Linked DNA regions of Macaca mulatta. The protein of the gene in region 1 purifies or fractionates together with the protein of each later gene. This does not show direct contact. Links are inferred from orthologs where the notes say so. Each region holds a gene or a part of one and is shown in the gene's direction. Other genes may lie near its edges.

Evidence for each region.
Region 2: the proteins of SLC39A4 (region 1) and VPS45 purify together in Homo sapiens (affinity purification with mass spectrometry; 3 studies listed by BioGRID and IntAct, counting the BioPlex papers as one, with this or other methods). This does not show direct contact. The link is inferred for Macaca mulatta from reciprocal best matches to the Homo sapiens genes SLC39A4 and VPS45.

What each region holds. Positions count from the first base shown.
Region 1 is NC_133413.1:154,818,488-154,828,702, reverse strand, and holds SLC39A4 (zinc transporter ZIP4), read left to right. Parts: upstream 1-3,515; 5' UTR 3,516-3,676; coding exon 3,677-4,303; intron 4,304-4,703; coding exon 4,704-4,896; intron 4,897-5,011; coding exon 5,012-5,148; intron 5,149-5,225; coding exon 5,226-5,397; intron 5,398-5,690; coding exon 5,691-5,863; intron 5,864-6,033; coding exon 6,034-6,171; intron 6,172-6,247; coding exon 6,248-6,379; intron 6,380-6,556; coding exon 6,557-6,611; intron 6,612-6,733; coding exon 6,734-6,886; intron 6,887-7,053; coding exon 7,054-7,241; intron 7,242-7,333; coding exon 7,334-7,462; 3' UTR 7,463-7,586; downstream 7,587-10,215. UniProt on the Homo sapiens protein: Selective transporter that mediates the uptake of Zn(2+). Plays an essential role for dietary zinc uptake from small intestine. The Zn(2+) uniporter activity is regulated by zinc availability.
Region 2 is NC_133406.1:117,075,758-117,085,941, reverse strand, and holds the start of VPS45 (vacuolar protein sorting-associated protein 45), read left to right. Parts: upstream 1-3,706; 5' UTR 3,707-3,826; coding exon 3,827-3,919; intron 3,920-4,587; exon of another isoform or gene 4,588-4,607; coding exon 4,608-4,742; intron 4,743-8,141; coding exon 8,142-8,202; intron 8,203-10,184. UniProt on the Homo sapiens protein: May play a role in vesicle-mediated protein trafficking from the Golgi stack through the trans-Golgi network.

The sequences.
Region 1 (10,215 bases):
GAAAAGAAAAGGGGGAAATGTGGGGAAAAGAAAGACATCAGCCTGTTACTATGTCTATATAGAAAGAAATAGCCATAAGAGGCTCCATTTTGTCCTGTATTTGAGATGCTGTTAATCTGTGACCCTACCCCCAACCTTGTCCTTGCAAGAGACATGTGCTGTGGTGACTCAAGGTTTAACTGATTTGGGGCTGTGCAGGATGTGTCTTTGTTAAACAAGTGCCTGAAGGCAGCTTGCTGGTTAAAAGTCATCACCATTCTCTTAATTTCAACTACCCAGGGACACGTACACGGCCAAAGGTCGCAGGGACCTCTGCCTAGGAAAGTTAGGTGTTGTCCAAGGTTTCTCCCCATGTGATAGGCTGAAGTAATGCTAAAAGGTTTATGGAGATGTTTGCATATGCATCTCAAGGCACAGCATTTTCCTTTAAACTTATTCATGTCACAGAGGTTTTTGTTCATATGTCTTACTGCCCTCCTATTGTCCTGCCACTCCCTTATCCTTAAGATGGTAAAGATAATTATCAATAAATACTAAGGGAACTCAGAGGCCAGTGCCGGCGTGGGTCCTCTGTAAGCTGAGCGCCTGTCCCCTGGGCCCCCGCTTTTCTTTCTCTATACTTTGTCTCTGTGTCTTCTTTCTTTTCTCAAGTCTCTCGTTCCACCTAACGAGAAACACCCACAGGTGTGGAGGGGCAGACCACCCCTTCAACTGCAAGCTCCACCTCCAAGGTTCAAGCTACTCTCCTGCCTCAGCCTCCCGAGGAGCTGGGACTACAGGCACCCACCACCACACTTGGCTAATTTTTTCGTATTTTTTTTTTTTTTTTTTTTGAGACGGAGTCTCGCTCTGTCGCCCAGGCTGGAGTGCAGTGGCCGGATCTCAGCTCACTGCAAACTCTGCCTCCCGGGTTTAAGCCATTCTCCTGCCTCAGCCTCCTGAGTAGCTGGGACTACAGGCACCCGCCACCTCGCCCGGCTAGTTTTTTGTAGTTTTAGTAGAGACGGGGTTTCACTGTGTTAGCCAGGATGGTCTCGATCTCCTGACCTCGTGATCCGCCCGTCTCGGCCTCCCAAAGTGCTGGGATTACAGGCTTGAGCCACCGCGCCCGGCCATTTTTTCGTATTTTTAATAGAGATGGGGTTTCACCGTGTTAGCCGGGATGGTCTCCATCTCCTGACCTCGTGATTTGCCTGCCTCGGCCTCCCAAAGTGCTGGGATTACAGGCGTGAGACACTGCGCCCGGCCTGGGTGCCCTAATTTGTTTTTGTATTTTTAGTAGAGCTGGGGTTTCATCATGTTGCCCAGGCTGGTCTTAAACTCCTGACTTCAAGTGATCCACCTGCCTCAGCCTCCCAAAGTGCTGGGTTTACAGGCGTGGGCCAAGGTGCCCGACCAGTGTTGTTTTTAAGATGGGCCAATTGCAATGAGCTTGTTGCATGACAGAGTGGGCCTGAGGGGCAGGAGAGTGCAACCCCTCTGCTCTGGGGAAGCCGGCCTCAGGCTGGGGCACGGGCAGCTGAAACCCTCAGCGGCTGCTCCTGGGCTGTGGAGGAGAGTTTCTGTGGGGAGGGATGGGGTCACATGAATGGAGGGAATGGAGGAGGCCTGCAGCCCAGCACTGAGGCCTACTGGGGAGGCAGCTCAGGAAGGCCACAGAGTCAGGCCCAGCCCAAGACCTTTGCCCTGAAGCTAAAATAGGCCCTTGAGCCTGGTTTCGAATGGGTGGCCTCCAGCCAGCCCATTGGTCCTGGGGTGGTGTGGGAGGGAAAGGGCCAGTTTGGGACCGCAACATCTCCAAGCTGCGTGTAGAGCTGCCCCCGTCATGGTCTTGGGGCCCAGAAATCATCTGCGGCCCCAGAAGGATACCACTGTGGGTGGGCCCAGCCAGAGGGGCACCATGAGATCTGCCGCTTGGCAGGGTGAGGCTGCCGGGGAAGCACCCTGACCCCAGGACACTGGGCCCAATGCCCGCACTGCCCCGTCCCGCCCTGCACATGGCAGGACAGAGTCCTTGGGCCTCAGGCACCCAGCTCCCCACCCCAGCCCCACCCACAACACTCAGGGTCAGGCTGGCTGGACCGGGCAGGAGGCTGCATCTGGACTCCCCCTTCAGAAGGCAAAGCTGCCCTGAGATCTGCCTTCCCCTTCCCCCAGACTTCCTGCCATCACCACCACAGTAGAGATAAGGCCTCTAGGCTCAAAGGCCAGAGAAGGAGCCCACAGGGAGGGCAGGGCTGGGAGCCACAGCCTCCCTGCCCCAGGGGCTAGAGCTGGGGTCTTACCCCAATCTTATCCTGCCCCAAGCCCGGCCAGGTGGCTGCCAGGGCCCAGGTCCGTCTTCCTGGTTGTCTGTGTTGGAGCTTCCTGGGGCTTTCTCTGGCCTAAGAGAGCATGATGCAGCAGGCACCTTTTCAGTTCCTTTGATTCCATCGCAGTCCCCAACAGGGACCATAGGCCAGGACCCAGGAAGAGGTTCATGTCCCCACCCCAACTGGGGCCACCAAGGGTGTCTGGGCAGCCTCTGTTGGGAGGGGCAGAGGCATGGACCTGGGAGCTCTCAGGCTCTGGGGGCATCTGTGCACCTCTGCCCTGCGTCCCCCAGCTTGGAGGCAGCCTCCAGATGGAGAGCCAGAAGGGGACACTCCGGCTCTGCCCCACAGCTTGAGGGGCAGCAGGAAGAGGACAGAAGCCCACCCAGGCTAGCCGGGCGCGGTGGCTCACACCTGTAATTCCAGCACTTGGGGAGGCCAAGGCAGGCGGATCACCCGAGGTTGGGAGTTCAAGACCAGCCTGACCAACATGGAGAAACCCTGCCTCTACTAAAAATACAAAATTAACTGGGTGTGGTGGTGCCGCCTGTAATCCCAGCTACTCGGGAGGCTGAGGCAGGAGAATCACTTGAACCTGGGAGGCAGAGTTTGCAGTGAGCCAAGATTACGCCATTGCACTGCAGCCTGGGCAGCAAGAGCAAAACTCTATCTAAAAAAAAGCCCACCCAGGCTGCCTGTCCAGGGGAAGGGGCCCAGCCCTCGCCCCCCACCAGCAGTGGCTTCAGGCTACTGGGGAGGATCTGCCGCTGGAATGGTTAACCCAGGCATCTCCAGCAGCCAATCACAGAGCTCTGCAGGAATACCTGGGAGAGGTCCTCATGCAGGCCGGGCCGGGCGGGTCCTAGCCCAGCCCCAGTCTGGCCCTGGACAACCCCAGCAAAGCCGCCCTCAGCCAGCCCAGAAGCACTGGGCCTTGGCCACAGCAACACCCACTGAGCACGCTGGGAGCTGAGTATGGCGTCCCTGGTCTCGCTGGAGCTTGGGCTGCTGCTGGCTGTGCTGGTGGTGACGGTGACGGTGACGGCGACGGCGACGGCAACGGCAACGGCGACGGCGCCCCCGCCTGCTGGTCTGCTGAGCCTGCTCACCTCCGGCCAGGGAGCTGTGGATCAAGAGGCACTGGGCGGCCTGTTAAATACGCTGGCGGACCGTGTGCACTGCGCCAACGGGCCGTGTGGAAAGGTAACAGCCCCACCCGACAGGTCCCCCAGCCCTGGCCTCTTCCCGCCCGCTCCGCCCTGCCAACTGGCAGCAAAGGGCCCTGGGCAAACTCCAGGAGGCGGAGGAGGCTGGCGGCAGTACCTGGGCACCCTGGCCCTCCCCGCAGGCCAGAGCCCACCCTCATGCTCATGAGGGCAGACAGGCACACCTCTCCAGGGACACACAGTCCCTCTTCTCCCCAGGACCCCAGGGCCACCTCCCCCTGCCGGCCCCCAGCCATCAAATTGGCAGTGGCTCCAGGGGAGTCCCCTGGGGATGGGACCACTGTTGGGGACCCCTCTCCGTGCACCCCTGTAGTTGGGGAAGCAGAACAGGGTCCTGGGGAGACAGAAGGGCACAACGGGTTGAGAGAGGATGGTGGACCTGAGAGGGAGAGGAAACAGGCCTGTGGGGAAGCCCCTTGGCCAGGCCTGCCTCTCCCCTCCCTGGTGGGCCCAGAGCCCCTCCTCACCTGTCTCTGCCCACAGTGCCTGTCTGTGGAGGACGCCCTGGGCCTGGGCGAGCCTGAGGGGCCAGGGCTGCCCCCAGGCCCGGTCCTGGAGGCCAGGTACATTGCCCGCCTCAGTGCCGCCGCCGTCCTCTACCTCAGCAACCCCGAGGGCACGTGTGAGGACGCTCGCGCTGGCCGCTGGGCCTCTCGTGCAGACCATCTCCTGGCCCTGCTCGAAAGCCCCAAGGCCCTGACCCCGGGCCTAAGCTGGCTGCTGCAGAGGATGCAGGCCCAGGCTGCCGGCCAGACCCCCAAGACGGTGAGGGACAGTCCAGGCAGACCAGGGGAGTGGGTGAGGAGGGCCCCATGGCCTAGGGGGCCAGGCCTGGCTGCAGAGCCTTCAGGGAGCCCGGGGGCCTGGGGAGACGCCCGGGAGTCGGCCTCCTGCTGGGGATTCACAATGTAGAGCTCACTACCGGGCAGCTGGGGGCCTGCAGGAGCCCCAGGAGGGGCCTCACGAGGGAGGAACCCAGAGGGCTGAGTGGGAGCCTGAAGCAGCTGGGCCCGGCAGGGAGGGCTGTGGCCCCAGGGAAGGGCGGGGCTGGTGGGGGCAGATCCTGTAGTTGGCGTGGGAGATGCATCCAGGGGCAGCTGGGTGGATGGCAGAACTGGATGCAAGGTCACACCAAAGGCTGAGGCAGAGGCCCCCTCTTCCCCAGGCCTGCGTAGACATTCCTCAGCTGCTGGAGGAGGCGGTGGGGGCGGGGGCTCCAGGTAGTGCCGGTGGCGTCCTGGCTGCCCTGCTGGACCACGTCAGGAGTGGGTCTTGCTTCCATGCCTTGCCGAGCCCTCAGTACTTCGTGGACTTTGTGTTCCAGCAGCACAGTAGCGAGGCTCCTATGACGCTGGCTGGTGAGGCCTGGGCTGGGCTGTGGAGGGGGCACCCCCGAGTCCCCAGCCTCCATGTCCCTAGGGGGCAGGGCTGGAGCCCACACAGACTCGCCGTGCTGACTCTTCTCCCTGCTAGAGCTGTCGGCCTTGATGCAGCGCCTGGGGGTAGGCAGGGAGGCCCACAGTGACCACAGTCATCAGCACAGGGGAGCCAGCGGCCAGGACCCTGTGCCCCTCGTCACCTCCAACGATAGCTCCAGTGTGTGGGACACGGTGAGCTGTGCCCTGGGGTAAGATGGGGTCCCACTGGGGTCTGCTCAGGCCCCTGAGCCTGTCCTGCCACTCCCCAGGTATGCCTGAGTGCCAGGGACGTGATGGCTGTGTATGGACTGTCAGAGCAGGCTGGGGTGACCCCGGAGGCCTGGGTCCAACTGAGCCCTGCCCTGCTGCAACAGCAGCTGAGTGGAGCCTGCACCTCCCAGCCCAGGCTCCCCGTCCAGGACCAGCTCAGCCAGGCAGAGAGTGAGTGCCCACCCCGGCACTGTGCTGGCAGTGCAGAGGTGGGGCCCACATAGGGAGGAAGGAGTGGCTGCCGAGGGTGAGGGATGGAGAGAGGGAGCAGGGCCTGGAAGTTGAAACAGCAGACACAGAGGAATGTGGCATCGCCAGGAGGGGAGTGGGGCTTTGAGGCAGGAGCGTCAGCCTGAGTGAGGGACTGGCCCACACTGACCGCCTGCAGCTCTGGTGAGTGACGCCCGGGAAGCAGGGGCTGAGTCTGGAAGAAAAGCTCTCACAGCCACCTCACCCGCCCCCAGGGTATCTGTACGGCTCCCTGGCCACACTGCTCATCTGCCTCTGCGCGGTTTTTGGCCTCGTACTGCTGACCTGCACTGGCTGCAGGGGGGTCACCCACTACATCCTGCAGACCTGCCTGAGCCTGGCGGTGGGTGCACTCACTGGGGATGCTGTCCTGCACCTGATGCCCAAGGTCTGCCCCCACAACCCCCCGATCCTGGCCTTCCCTTCCCCACCATGGACTCCCAGGCCATGCCCTCCCAGGGCCCTTACCCACACCACCCCCTGACCCCTGACCCCTCTCCCTGGGTCTTGGAGGGAGGCGCCCTGTGACCCCCCCAGCCCAGCGCCCCTACTCCCCAGGTGCTGGGGCTGCACACACACAGCGAAGAGGGCCTCAGCTCACAGCCCACCTGGCGCCTCCTGGCTATGTTGGCCGGGCTCTACGCCTTCTTCCTGTTTGAGAACCTCTTCAACCTCCTGCTGCCCAGGGACCCGGAGGTCAGGCTTCTTGGGAAGGTACCCGGCGGGTGGGTGTGCTGGGGGCCTGGCGGACGCTGAGCAGCTACCCTCACAGGATCTGGAGGACGGGCCCTGCGGCCACAGCAGCCACAGCCACGGCGGCCACAGCCACGGCGTGTCCCTGCAGCTGGCACCCAGCGAGCTCCGGCAGCCCAAGCCGCCCCACGAGGGCTCCCGCGCGGACCTGGTGAGTGGGCGCCCGATGCCCCACCCCACGCGGAGCCCCTCCTACAGACCCCTTCCCAAGCCCACACTCCCAGCCCCACCCCAGGCCTGCGGCCCCGCCTCCCGCGGTGATCTGGGGCCCCGCCCCGCCGCGTTCCTCCTCTATCTCTGGGCGGGACTTACTCAAGGCTCCTCCCAGGTGGCGGAGGAGAGCCCGGAGCTGCTGAAGCCGGAGCCCAGGAGACTGAGCCCAGGTGAGCCCAGGGGGCGACCCCGGAAGGGCTGGGGGATCTGAGGTTTGTGTGGAGCGCGAGCGGGGCCCGGGGCTTGGCGGTCGGGGACAGGCCACGCGAACCCACGGCCGCTGCATCCGCAGAGTTGAGGTTACTGCCTTATGTGATCACGCTGGGCGACGCCGTGCACAACTTCGCCGATGGGCTGGCCGTGGGCGCCGCCTTCGCGTCCTCCTGGAAGACCGGGCTGGCCACCTCGCTGGCGGTGTTCTGCCACGAGTTGCCGCACGAGCTGGGTGAGCGGCGGGCGGGGCCTGGAAGGAGACGGCCGGGGCCGCACGGGGCTGGGCGGGGAGACCGGGAACAGGTGGGCGGGGCCTGGTGGTAAGAGCGCGCGACCGAAAGGAGGTGGGCGGGGCATGTAAATAGGAGGGCGGAGCTGTTGATGTGGACCCGCCCGCAGGGGACTTCGCGGCCTTGCTGCAGGCGGGCCTTTCCGTGCGCCAAGCGCTGGTGCTGAACCTGGCCTCTGCGCTCACGGCCTTCGCGGGTCTCTACGTGGCACTCGCGGTTGGAGTCGGCGAGGAGAGCGAGGTCTGGATCCTGGCAGTGGCCACCGGCCTGTTCCTCTACGTGGCACTCTGCGACATGGTCAGGATGGTGAGGGGAGGGGCTGCTCTGGGCCGGGAACTGAGCAGCGGAGCTGAGCAGGGGCGCTGACCTGGTACCCACTTGCTCCTCAGCTCCCGGCCATCTTGAAAGTACGGGACCCACGGCCCTGGCTCCTCTTTCTGCTGCACAACGTGGGCCTGCTGGGCGGCTGGACCGTCCTGCTGCTGCTGTCCTTGTACGAGGATGATATCACCCTCTGATACCCTGCCCTAGTCTCCCACCTTTGACCCAAGATCCCACACCCCACAAACCTACAGCCCAGAAACCAGAAGCCCCTATAGAGGCCCCAGTCCTAACTCCAATAAAGACACTCTTGTCCTTGCAGCATGGCTGTGCTCTCCTTGTTGGGTGGGAAAGGTCCTCAGCTGAGAAAGGACAATTGCGGCACTGCCTTCTCCCCATCGGGGTGCCTCGAAGAGAAGCAGGAAGAGCTGCACTCAGGGCCCCCCAGGCAGCCAGCCTCAGGCACCCCCTCTTTGATGTGGAGACCCTGCCTGCCTGAGGAGTGGGGTCAGGGAAATTCGCCGGGGTGTGTGGGCAGCAGGTGGGACCCTGTCCCCAAACAGTAATCAAACTTGCTTACCCATAACTGCGTACACAGCTGAAGGCATATTTTTCTGTCATGGAAAGCAAGCCTGGAGATAATCAGACCAGAGTGTGGCAGCCCATGGTTCCTGGGACCCCAGCCTCTTCTGACTCTGAGGCGTTAATCCTGAGTCCCTATGTAGTGGCCTCCTAGGGCTCCCATAACACAGCCTACCACAAACTGAGTGCCTTCAAACCAGAAACTTATTTTCACAGTTCTGGAGGCTAAAAGTTAGGAATCAAAGCATCAGGAGACTAATGCTCCCTCTGAAGTCTCCAGGAAGCAGTCTGTTCCCCAAGCCTTTCCTGGCTACTGGTGGCCCCAGGTGTTCCTTGGTTTGTGGGCAGTATGACTCCAATCTCTGCCTCTGTCTTTGTGGGGAAAAGAAAGAGATCAGCCTGTTACTGTGTCTATATAGAAAGACGTAGACATAAGAGACTCCATTTTGTTCTGTATTTGTGATGCTGTTAATCTGTGACCCTACCCCCAACCTTGTCCTTGCAAGAGACATGTGCTGTGGTGACTCAAGGTTTAATGGATTTTGGGCTGTGCAGGATGTGTCTTTGTTAAACAAATGCCTGAAGGTAGCTTGCTGGTTAAAAGTTATCACCATTCTCTTAATTTCAACTACCCAGAGACACGTACACGGCCGAAGGTCGCAGGGACCTGTGCCTAGGAAAGCTAGGTATTGTCTAAGGTTTCTCCCCATGTGATAGACTGAAACAATGCTGCTAAAAGGTTTATGGAGATGTTTGCATATGCATCTCAAGGCACAGCATTTTCCTTTGAACTTATTCATGTCACAGAGGTGTTTGTTCATATGTCTTACTGCCCATTTCCTCTTTTCTTTGATCCTATTGTCCTGCCACTCCCCTGTCTTTAAGATGGTAAAGATAATTATCAATAAATACTAAGGGAACTCAGAGACCGGGACCCGCGTGGGTCCTCTGTAAGCTGAGCGCCAGTCCCCTGGGTCCCGCTTTTCTTTCTCTATACTTTGTCTCTGTGTCTTATTTCTTTTCTCAAGTCTCTCGTTCCACCTTACAAGAAACACCCACAGGTGTGGAGGGGCAGGCCACCCCTTCATCTGGTGCCCAACGTGGAGCTTTTCTCTAAGGTGAAGGTACGCTGGAGCATGGTCATTGAGTACAAGTTGACGAGAGACTCCCGAGTATGTCTAAAGTCAGCCTTGTGGTAAGCTTGTGCGCACGGAAGAACCTAGGGTAACAATGGGGCAAACTATGAGTAAATATGCCTCTTATCGCAGCTTTATTAAAATTCTCTTAAAAAGAGGGGGAGTTAAAGTCTCTACCAAAAATCTAACTACGCTATTTCAAACAATAGAGCAGTTTTGTCCATGGTTTCCAGAACAGGGAACTTTAGATCTAAAAGACTGGGAAAAAATTGGCAAAGAATTAAAACAAGCAAGTAGGGAAGGTAAAATCATTCCCCTTACAGTATGGAATTATTGGGTCATTATTAAAGTAGCTTTAGAACCGTTGCAAACAGAAGAAGATAGCGTTCCAATTTCTGATGTCCCTAAAAGCTGTGCAGTAGATTGTGAAAAAGAGGCAAGGATAGAATCCCGGAAAGGAAAGGAAAGTTCACACTGTGAATGTGTATCAGAGCCAGCTATGGCTCAGTCAACGCAAAATGTTGACATTAATCAATTACAGGAGGTAGTATATCCTGAAACGTTAAAATTAGAAGAAAAAAATCCAGAATTAGCAGAGCCATCAGAGTCTAGACCACGATGGCCAACTCCTCTTCCAGCAGCTCAGATTCCTGTAACTTTACAACCTCAAATGCAGGTTAAACAAGTACAAACTCCAAAAGAAGATCAAATAGAAAAAGATAGAGTCTCTATCATGGCAATGCCATTCCAAATGCAGTGTCCACAATATCAGCCGGTAGAAAATAAGACCCAGCCGCCAGTAGCCTATCAATACTGGCCGCCAGCCGAACTGCGGTATCGGCTGCCCCCAGAAAATCCGTGTGGACAGCCAGGAACATTTCCAGTGCCACAGGGCAGGGCACCATATCCTCAGCCGCCCACCATGAGACTTAATCCTACAGCACCGCCTAGTACACAGGGTAGTGTGTTACATAAAATTATTGATGAGGCAAGAAAACAAGGAGATATTGAAGTGTGGTAATTCCCAGTAATATTAGAAGCAAGACCACCTGGAGAAGGGGCCCAAGAGGGAGAGCCTTCTGTAGCTGAAGCCAGATATGAGTCCTTTTCTATAAAAATGCTAAAAGAAATGAAAGAGGGAGTAAAACAGTATGGACCCAACTCTCCTTACATGAGAACATTATTAGATTCCATTGCTCATGGACATAGACTCATTCCTTATGATTGGGAGA
Region 2 (10,184 bases), on another chromosome or scaffold:
CATGCACCATGCACTGTGTAAAATACTTTTTTGCACATTATTTCATTTAATTGTCACAAATTCACGAGGTAGGTTATGTTATTACCATTTATCTGATGAGGCAATGGTTAGAGAGGTTAAGAACACTGCACAAATACTGGTTGTATGATACAAGCAATCCTTTCTTTCTTTCTTTTCTCTCTTTCTTTCTTTCTCTCTTTCTCTCTCTTTCTTTCTTTCTTTCTTTCTTTCAGGGTCCCACTCTGTTGCCCAGGCTGGAGTGCAGTAGCATGAACATGGCTCACTGCAGCCTCGACTTCCAGGGCTCAAGCAATCCTACTACCACGCATCTCGAGTAGCTAGGACCACAGATGCACCCACTATGCCTAGCTAATTTTTAAATTTTGTGTAGAGACAAGGTTTAGCTATGTTTCCCAGGTTGATCTCGAACTCCTGGGCTCAAGCAATCCTCCTGCCTTAGTCTCCCAAAGTGCTAGGATTACAGGCATGAACCACTGTGGCTGGCCAATACTGCCATTCTTTATGCAAATATTTTTTTCAATTGTTATCAAGTAGGAAATCTAATTAACTTCAGTTTCATTGAATTTCATCTTTACTTCCTTCCTATCCATGGCTTATGAGAGAAGTGTTAACATGAAGCAACAAGGATTATGGTAAATAGAGAATTAATAATCTAAAATAACTAAGAGTTGGCCATATTGTTATTATAATTATACTGAAGCTTATTTACATATTCTTTGTTTTGTGTTGAAACCTTGAGTTCTGATGGGGGAAAATCATGATTTTGATTAAACACAAAATTGCTTCTCGCCTTTTGGCTAAGATCAAGTGTAGATTAAACACAAAATGGGTAGTTAAACCTCTAAATAGTACACACTTTGGAGAAAGCTGAAGTACATGTAATTATTTAAATCATTCCTGATTATTTAACTTACATATTTACAAGCCGAAATAAAATGTGCAAATGTAAATAATGCTTTTTCTTTTCTTTTTTTTTTTTGGAGACAGGGTCTCACTCTGTCACCCAAGCTGCAGTGCAGTGGCACACTGTAACCTCAACCTCCTGGGTTCAGGTGATCCTCCCATCTCATCGTCCCAAGTAGCTGGGACTGCAGGCGCCGGCCACCATGCCCAACTAATTTTTTGTATTTTTTTTGTACAGACAGGGTTTCATCATATTGCCTAGGCTGGTCTTGAACTTCTGGACTCAAGCGATTGGCCTCGCCTTGGCTTTCAAAGTGCTGGGATTACAGGAGTGAGCCACCTGCCTGACCAATACTGCATTTTTTGACTTCCTGTTTTCTATCCTTAAAGCACTGATTTCTTGGACCCAGTGAAAACAAATTTTTCAGGTTGAAGATTTTAAGTTAATGTAATCATTCATATTTGAAGGATGTCATGATTTATTTTTTAATGTCTTTACTATTGAAAATATTTCTTGTTATTATAGTTTATTTATACCCTAAATTAAAAATAAGCAGGCACTTCATATTCTGGATTTGCTGTCACTTGCCTACAACAAAACAAGTAACTCTGGGTTTATACTGGATGAGTTACAAAGCGAGAGTTTGGATTTTATCATTGGTTTCAGTCCTAATTTTAGAGGTGTGGGGATACAAAAGAAGTTCTTAATTTGGAGACATTTAAAATGGCTTGTGTGGTTTTCTTCAGGAAGGAAGCATGCTGTCTAACTTCAGGACCATCACAGCACCCTTTAAATATGTAATAATTATTTTGTTCAAAATGTTTATGTTCCATATCTTATCACTCAATGTATAAAATATCACTGCCACTGACATCAATTACATTTTATGGAAAATGGAGTGAATTAGTAAGCTGTCAAGTAGGTATTTTCCTCCTCCCTCAAAAAGTTATGTGTCCAAGTATAAATCATCAAAAGGATGCAGATTCTTTCCATATATTGCTTACAAATTGACTATTGTTTAAAAAGGCACAAATTTCAAAAAAATAAAAAAAATAAAAAATAAAAATAAAAAGGCACAAATTTCATAGACAAGTCTTTATCTCCTTCTTTCTTAAAAAAGCACAGAAAATGGGGGAAAAAGTCTTCTATACTGCAGTCTAAATTATAGGTAGGAAAAATAAAAACCAAGTGACATGGGAGATTGGAGGTGAATTTTCAAATATCAGTAATTTACAGGATTTACAGGATTTTCATTAGCATGGTTTCCACGTTTTCTGTAAGATATGAACATTTAAATTGATAAGAATGGAAGATTCATATAACATTAGTTTTTCTTACTTGTATCCATTTAAAGATTCACATTTTCACTTTAATATATAACTTAAGACTTTTCTTTCAAAACACATCTAAAAATTAGTAAAATGCCTAAATGGAAGCTTTATTTACTTGGTAGAAAAGCTGAAAAAAATAAAAACATATTCTTCACAATTTCAGAGGTGACAAAAATCTCTTATATTTCAGTAGTTTCTGATCTCCCTTAAGGGATTTGAAAATTGTATATGATGTTGCATAATCTTAAGAAGATTAACGTTAAAGTGCTACTGGTCTATTTCAATTGTGTACTTCTTACAATATAATGAAAGAATTTATTTGGTAATCCTGAATCTATTGACCTCACAAACACTGGTCATTATTTTGGTGAAAATATTCATAAGCATTTTTAGTTACTGATTTCTAACAGTTGTTTCTTATTATCTTCCTGATTTTACAATTCCCCAAAGTAAAGGTGCGAAAAACAAACATCTACCCTCCTTTTCGACAAATGCCATGATAGAGGGGAGACTTGTGTGGTGTAAACACAAATGTAGACATTTGGAAGTTGATGGTTTTAAGATTCAATAAAAACTTGAAGGTTTTGGCTTCAAATCCCCACGCTAGTTTGTTTTAGTTCTACCGGATACATGTCCCCTACCCATTTCAAAGGACCCAGTCAACTCCGCTCTTGCCTGCAGTTTCAGCGTCGCGGGTGACCCGCGCCCCGCCGGAGTTGGAGCTGGCAGAGTCCGATTGCTCAGAGCGCCGAGCCGGGGGTGGGGCAGGGGTACGCTTGCAGGTCCGGTGGTCACGCTGGCTGAGAGCCCCCACGGCCGACCCGCGCTGCAGACCCTCCTGGAGAACCTCAGGCCTCTCCTCAAAAACATCCCTAAAACGCGTTCCCTTTGTTCATTCATTCATGTTCAATTTCATATGCCCCTCTGTCTTGGGAAAACCAATTCGGGCCTCTGCAGCCTCAACACAGGGGCACTGTTCCCGCCTATTACTGACCCAGTGAAGCCGGGAAGACGAATCTCGACCACTGTTTCGCAGATACCGCGTGTGATTTATTAAATGCCGTCTCTCCGAGTCCCAAGTGGCCGGGAGCATTATGCCACCTCCCTTGCCCTCATCTCTCACTGCCATGCAAGAAAGCGTTAATGGCAAATAGGGACCACGGCCACGCTCCGTCGTTCCTGCTTCCAAGCAAACCTTGTGCCAGGTTCCTCATTTCGCGAGGCTCCACTCTCTTGGGCTTCAGGCTGCGGCTGGGCCTCCAGGACCAAAGGGCAATAGAGGTCTGAGAGTCCGGGCCTCAGGCATATGCAGGCCGCAGGTGGGAGGAGAATAGCGCCCGCGCGTGGCAACAGCCCAGGGCATCTCCGCCGGATTTTTCCATCCCCGGGATAGGCTTGGTGCCCCGTACACTCCAGCGGAACTACAACTCCCAGCACCGTGGTTGCCCGGACTCCCGGAAGCCGAAGCCCGGCTGGGAGGAAGCAGCTGAGACCCCGCCAACAGACCGGGGGTTAATTTAGACAGAAAAGGGGGCGGGAAGGGCTGTGGGATACTTGTCAATTCGCCGCCATGAACGTGGTTTTTGCTGTGAAGCAGTACATTTCCAAAATGATAGAGGACAGCGGGCCTGGTATGAAAGTACTTCTGATGGATAAAGAGACGGTGAGTTTGCTTTTGCTCAGCATTTGTCAAGGAACCCTCTCAACCTTACAATAGCTGGTCCCATTCCACAGTAGGATTTAGCATTTAATTAAAGATATGAAAATAAGGGTCAGTTTGTGTGGAATTGAAAAGTTGTATAAAGCTTGCCCGGTGGGTTTTTCAGTCTAAATGGCTCCAGCCACTGCCCAGAGACTGCTTCTACCCGAAACAATTTATTGGAATCAGAAATCTTTTAATAAATGTCTCTGCCAATAAATCATTAATATGTTAGAGCACTTGGAAGACTTTGGGATGGGCCTACTGTTTCCACTCAACATTGCGTTTTAAAAGTAAAGCTGTTGGAGCTCAAGCTGAACTGACAGGTTATTTGTTGGCCACAGACCAGAAAACAAAATTCTTTAAGGTGATAGAAAAAAATATTTTTGGAAATGTATGGATTGTTCCAGTTCAAAAAGAGCATGTTTTTTCTTTGTTTTTTGTTTTTAACCTTGACACTTCAGCTGAAAGGAGAGAGCGTATTTTTCGTTCTTGTATGTTACCTACCTGTTTGGATGTTCAGTAAATGTTATTACGTATATTACTATTTAAGTTATCCAGCTAAGTATTAATGAAAAAAGAGGCTTAGATATGCTACTTGTTTTTATTATTCTAGACTAGCATACTTTTAGTTAATCCTTTGTTTTTACAGACTGGCATAGTGAGTATGGTATACACACAATCGGAGATTCTACAGAAAGAAGTGTACCTCTTTGAACGCATTGATTCTCAAAATCGAGAGATCATGAAACACCTGAAGGCAATTTGTTTTCTTCGACCTACAAAGGTACTGCATAAACTGAGTTTCCATCTGCCCAGGCAGATGCAGCACACTCTAATCTGAAAGCATTAAGAAGGCAAAATAAATTTGTATTTTCATAATTTGTGGCATCATAATTATCCTGGTTCATCAGTATTATAACCTTCATTTTTCTTGTTTTGTTTCCATATTTCAGTTGACCCCTTACAGCCAATTCTTCCTTCAAGATGTCTTTTAGGTTCACAGCTATTCCCATTGCCACTAATGAACTACTCTTAACAGAGACCCACATTACTTTATTCCTGGATTAACCTCCGTATCTGTCACATTGAACACCATCAACACTTAATTTCGTATACAGCTATGAGTGTCTTGAATCTTTACCACTTTATTCACATTTATGCTCAGAAACTTCTGGTGGTTTGATGTTATTTCCATGATTAAATCTATATTTAGCCCAGCAGTTAAAGCCCTCCTTTGTTGGTTTCATTTGCCCATATGTATCTAGCCTTCCTGTGTCCTAGGTCTGCTGCTCCTCTGTAGCCAGCTGGGCTACTGTTGGAATGAGCAATTTTACATGCTCATTCCTGTTCACTGGTTTTTTTTCTTCCACTAATTAAAAGTTATTTGGCCATTTGTCACTTTTTGTCCATCACCTTCTAAATCTAGCTTGAGTCTCTCCTTTAAAAATCCTTTCCTATTTTAATACTTTCTTTTTTTTTTTTTTTTTTTTTTGGAGTATCCCTGTGTTGCCCAGGCTGGAGTGCAGTGGCGCAATCTCAGGCCCACTGCAAGCTCCACCTCCCGGGTTCACGCTTCTCCTGCCTCAGCCTCCCGAGTAGCTGGGACTACGGGCGCCTGCCACCACGCCTGGCTAATTTTTTTGTATTTTTAGTAGAGATGGGGTTTCACTGTGTTAGCCAGGATAGTCTCAATCTCCTGACTTCATGATCCGCCCTCCTCGGCCTCCCAAAGTGCTGGGATTACAGGCGTGAGCCACCGCGCCTGGCTGTTCTACTTTGTTGATTCATATTCATATTCTTCAACTCTAATGCACTTTATCATGCTTGTACATATGTACTTTCCAGAATGCAAATCTGATCATGGCACTCCTGCTTGAAATCCTTAAATGACTTCTCATTGCTTTTCTGATAAGGGCAAAAGTCCTTAATTGTAGCCTTCAAGGTGCAGCATGGTCTGGTTTCTACCATTTCTCCAGCCTCATTTCGAACCATTCCCCTTTTGCACTCTGCACCTTAATCACCTTAATCTTTCAATCCACTATATTCCCCTTGTTCTGTCATGCCACAGGACCTTTGCATAGGCTTCTTCTTCTGCCTGGAACTTCACTTCCTCAAGTAACCCTTCCCTGGTTTTGCTGACCAGGTCAAACCTGCCCCTTATGTGCATTTACAAAACCATCTTTATCGCCCTATTGCGTGTCATGGTTTGAACTTTTGTATGGTTTGGGTGATTACCAGCAGTAATCCATGAAAACAGATATGATATCTGTTTTTTCTCACCCTATATTCCCAATGCCTGTCACACAGTGGACACTCAATAAATAGTTGCTGAATTAATGAACACATGCTGTGTTATAATAGTTTCCAATTGTTTCATATTTATAGCTCTTAGTCATGATATTTTGCTTCAAGAGGTACCTTAGAGATGATCTAGTTCATTATTTCCTAATTTTTTTATTAGAGAAACTCTTTGACTGCTATGTACTGTCTCTCAAACTCTTTTAAGAATCTTTCCTTTTGGCCGGGCACGGTGGCTCACACCTGTAATCCTAGCACTTTGGGAGGCCCAGGCGGGCAGATCACGTGGTCAGGAGATCGAGACCATTCTGGCCAACATGGTGAAACCCCGTCTCTACTGAAAATACACACACACACAAAAACAATTAGCCAGGTGTGGTGGCAGGCACCTGTAGTCCCAGCTACTAGGGAGGCTGAGGCAGGAGAATTGCTTGAACCAGGGAGTTGGAGGTTTCAGTGAGCTGAGATCACGCCACTGTAGTCCAGCCTGGCGGCAGAGCAAGACTCCGTCTCAAAAAATAATAATAATAATAATAATCTTTCCTTTTTCTTTTTATTATTTTGTATATTCTCTTTTGTCTTTTTCCACATTGTCTGAACTTTTAGGAATCTTTTAATTCAGTTTGTTATTTTTGCCTAGCATATTACGAGGAAGTAATTGAGGTTTAAAAGATATTTTAAATTTTTTTCTTAAGATTATATTATAACGTTAATTTGAATGCATTTTTAAATCTAAATGACAATTTTTAAAACCTTTTCCCCATTAATAAGCAGTATACATTGCTTACATTTTTCTTTTAATTCTGTAAAGAAAGGTGATTTTTAAAACAAATTACTAAATATGTTTAGGGAACAATTTATATTGAAATTTAACCAGGTATTATAGTATCAAAAATCAATAAAACCTGCATTATAATCTTATGTAATCGGAATTCTTATATTTTGACCATATAAAAATCAACTTTTTTGTTTTAAACTTTTATACTTTATTTTAAATTAATGTAATTATAGAAAGATCTTAGCCTACTACTTGCAAATACTTCACAAACATTGTAGTTGTGCAGAGTCTTACATCCCAATAAATTAAAAGCCAAAGTGAATATAATTAACTATATTTTCTCTTGAATGTTAATTTTTAAAGGAATAGACACATTTGATGTTCTAGGTAAGAATTTTGATCAGGCCAGGCGCAGTGGCTCACACCTGTAATCCTAGCACTTGGGAGGCCAAGCCAGTAGATCAGTTGAGGTCAGGAGTTCAAGACCAGCCTGGCCAACATGGTGAAACCCTGTGTCTACTAAAATTACAAAAAATTAGCTGGGTGTGGTGGCACAAACCTGTAATCCCAGCTACTTGGGAGGCTGAGACAGGAGAATTGCTTGAACCTGGAAGATGGAGGTTGCAGTGAACCGAGACTGTGCCATTGCCCTCCAGCCTGGGCGACAGAGTGAGACCTCATCTCAAATAAAAAAAAAAAAAAAAAAGAATTTTGAGCAAGTGAATACAATTTATAGACAAACAGCTCGATGTGAGTTTGCAGAATTATAATCAATTTTATGTTGTATTTCAACATCTGTGTCCCTTATATTCTTTATCTTAATTTGGCCAAAATGCAGTTGGTTAATATTTAATATTATACACATACTATTAAATAATATATGATTCCTGATCATTGTATTCATCTCTTTTGTCTCCAGCCCTTACCCACCAACATGTGCACAAAATTTATCTGTCTGCAGCCCTTATCCACCAACATATGCAACACTTAACCTAGACTTCAATATGCAGTAGATGCAGTAAATAAACAAATCAATGGGTAATGCTTATTACTTTTTTCCTTAAGCAACTCTCCTCATATTTTGTTCGCTTGTTCTTCATTTTCTAGGAGAATGTGGATTATATGATTCAGGAGCTCCGAAGACCCAAATACACTATATATTTCATTTGTAAGTATGTTAGTTCACTTTTTCAAACTCATAACAACATCCCAGTTAGTGTGTTTCATTGAGCCCTTTATGTCACTAATAAGTTCATTGGATCTGTCACTATAAAGATCTCGTTTATTTAACGTCCTTCCAAAGTATTAAAAGTCTGTTGACCTGCCGGGCATGGTGGCTCAAGCCTGTAATCCCAGCACTTTGGGAGGCCAAGGTGGGCGGATCACTGAGGTCAGGAGTTTGAGACCAGCCTGACCAACATGGTGAAACCCCATCTCTACTAAAAACACAAAATTAGCTGGGCATGGTGGCGCATGCCTATAATCCCAGCTACTTGGGAGGCTGAAGCAGAAGAATCGCTTGAACTGGAGAGGCGGAGATTGCAGTGAGCCAAGATTGTGCCATTGCACTCCAGCCTGGGCAACAAGAGCGAAACTCTGTCTCAAAAAAAAAAAAAAAACAAAACTTTTGACCAATATTCTGTTTCAGAGGGCTAAATGTGATTTCCATTCATCTTTGATTACTTAAGTTAAAAATTTTACATTTTACTTTGCCTTTCAAGATGCTTTGTAAGTCACAAGTTGTAAGTAGACAAATTTTACATCTCACCCCTGCCAAAAAAAAAAAAGTATATACTTATCCCCATTTTACACTTAGGAATTGAGGCATGGAAGCTGATTTATTTTTTGAAATGGGAAGGTAATACTTGAGTTTGTTGGAAAAGCAGAGATTTACTTTACATACCAGATAAAAGCCTTTCACTTCTCTTTGTTACTATATTTAATGCATTGAAAGTATAAATCATCAGGTAGTGATCTCTTATGTGCACAACTTTCTTGGGTTGGGGGTTAGGTAGGGGAGGTCTGGAAATAAACTAGGTTTGTATTTACTATACAATTTACATGGATTTTTTTGATCCAATACATTTGGCTGTGGAAGTTACATCCATTCTCCTCTAGATGTCATTATTGATCTTTATGTTAATAGTATTAGTGTAGTCTGTTTGGTAATATTTCCAAAACCAAGGACTAGATTTAACAGTAAGTAGGGCATTTGAGAAGTTTTAAAGCTTACTTAAAGGTATTAGAGTTTTAGGGTTTAGACTACAGTCTAAGACATGTACTTTCTTCAGCGTATACTACTTAAATGGAATAATGATACAAAAAATTAACATTTGTGAAAAGACTATATATAAGAGCTCTCTCATATTTTATTTCATTCACTTTTGTGTAGAACTGAAAAGTTATATAAAGCTCGTCCAGTGGGTTTTCAGTGCACAACGCCCCAAGAGGTAAAAATAGGCAATTTTATTAATCTGTGGCATCTTAATTTTTGTTTGTTTTTGGCTAAGAGTCACAGGTTTTCTTTTTAAAATTAAACTTTCTATTCTGAAGTAATTGTAGATTTGTGTGCAGCTGTAAAAAAAAAAAAAAAAAAAAAAACACAAATGATCGCAGATACCCTTTACCCAGCTTCCCCCATGTAGTATCTTACATGACGATAGTACAATATCACAACCAAGATGTTAACACTGATACAGTCAGGATACAGAACATTTTCATCTCTATAAGGATCCCTTATATTGCCCTTTTATTAGCTTATATGGACTTCTCTCCCACGCCAACCCCCTCATTAACCCTGGTAACCACTAATATTTTCTCCATTTTATATTTTATCATTCGAAGAATGTTCTATAAATGAAATCATACAGTATAAAACCTTTTGGGAATGACTTTTTTTACTCAGCATAATTCTCTGGAGAGTCATCCAGGCTGGTATGTGTGGGTGCGTGTGTGTGTGTGTGTGTGTGTGTGTTTGCTTTTTTGTTTTTTTGTCTGAGAAGGAGTCTTGCTTTGTCACCCAGGCTGGAGTGCAGTGTCGCCATCTCAACTCACTGCAACCTCCACCTCACGGGTTCAAGCGATTCTCCCACCTGAGCCTCCCGAGTAGCTAAGATTACAGGTGCACACCACCACACTCAGCTAATTTTT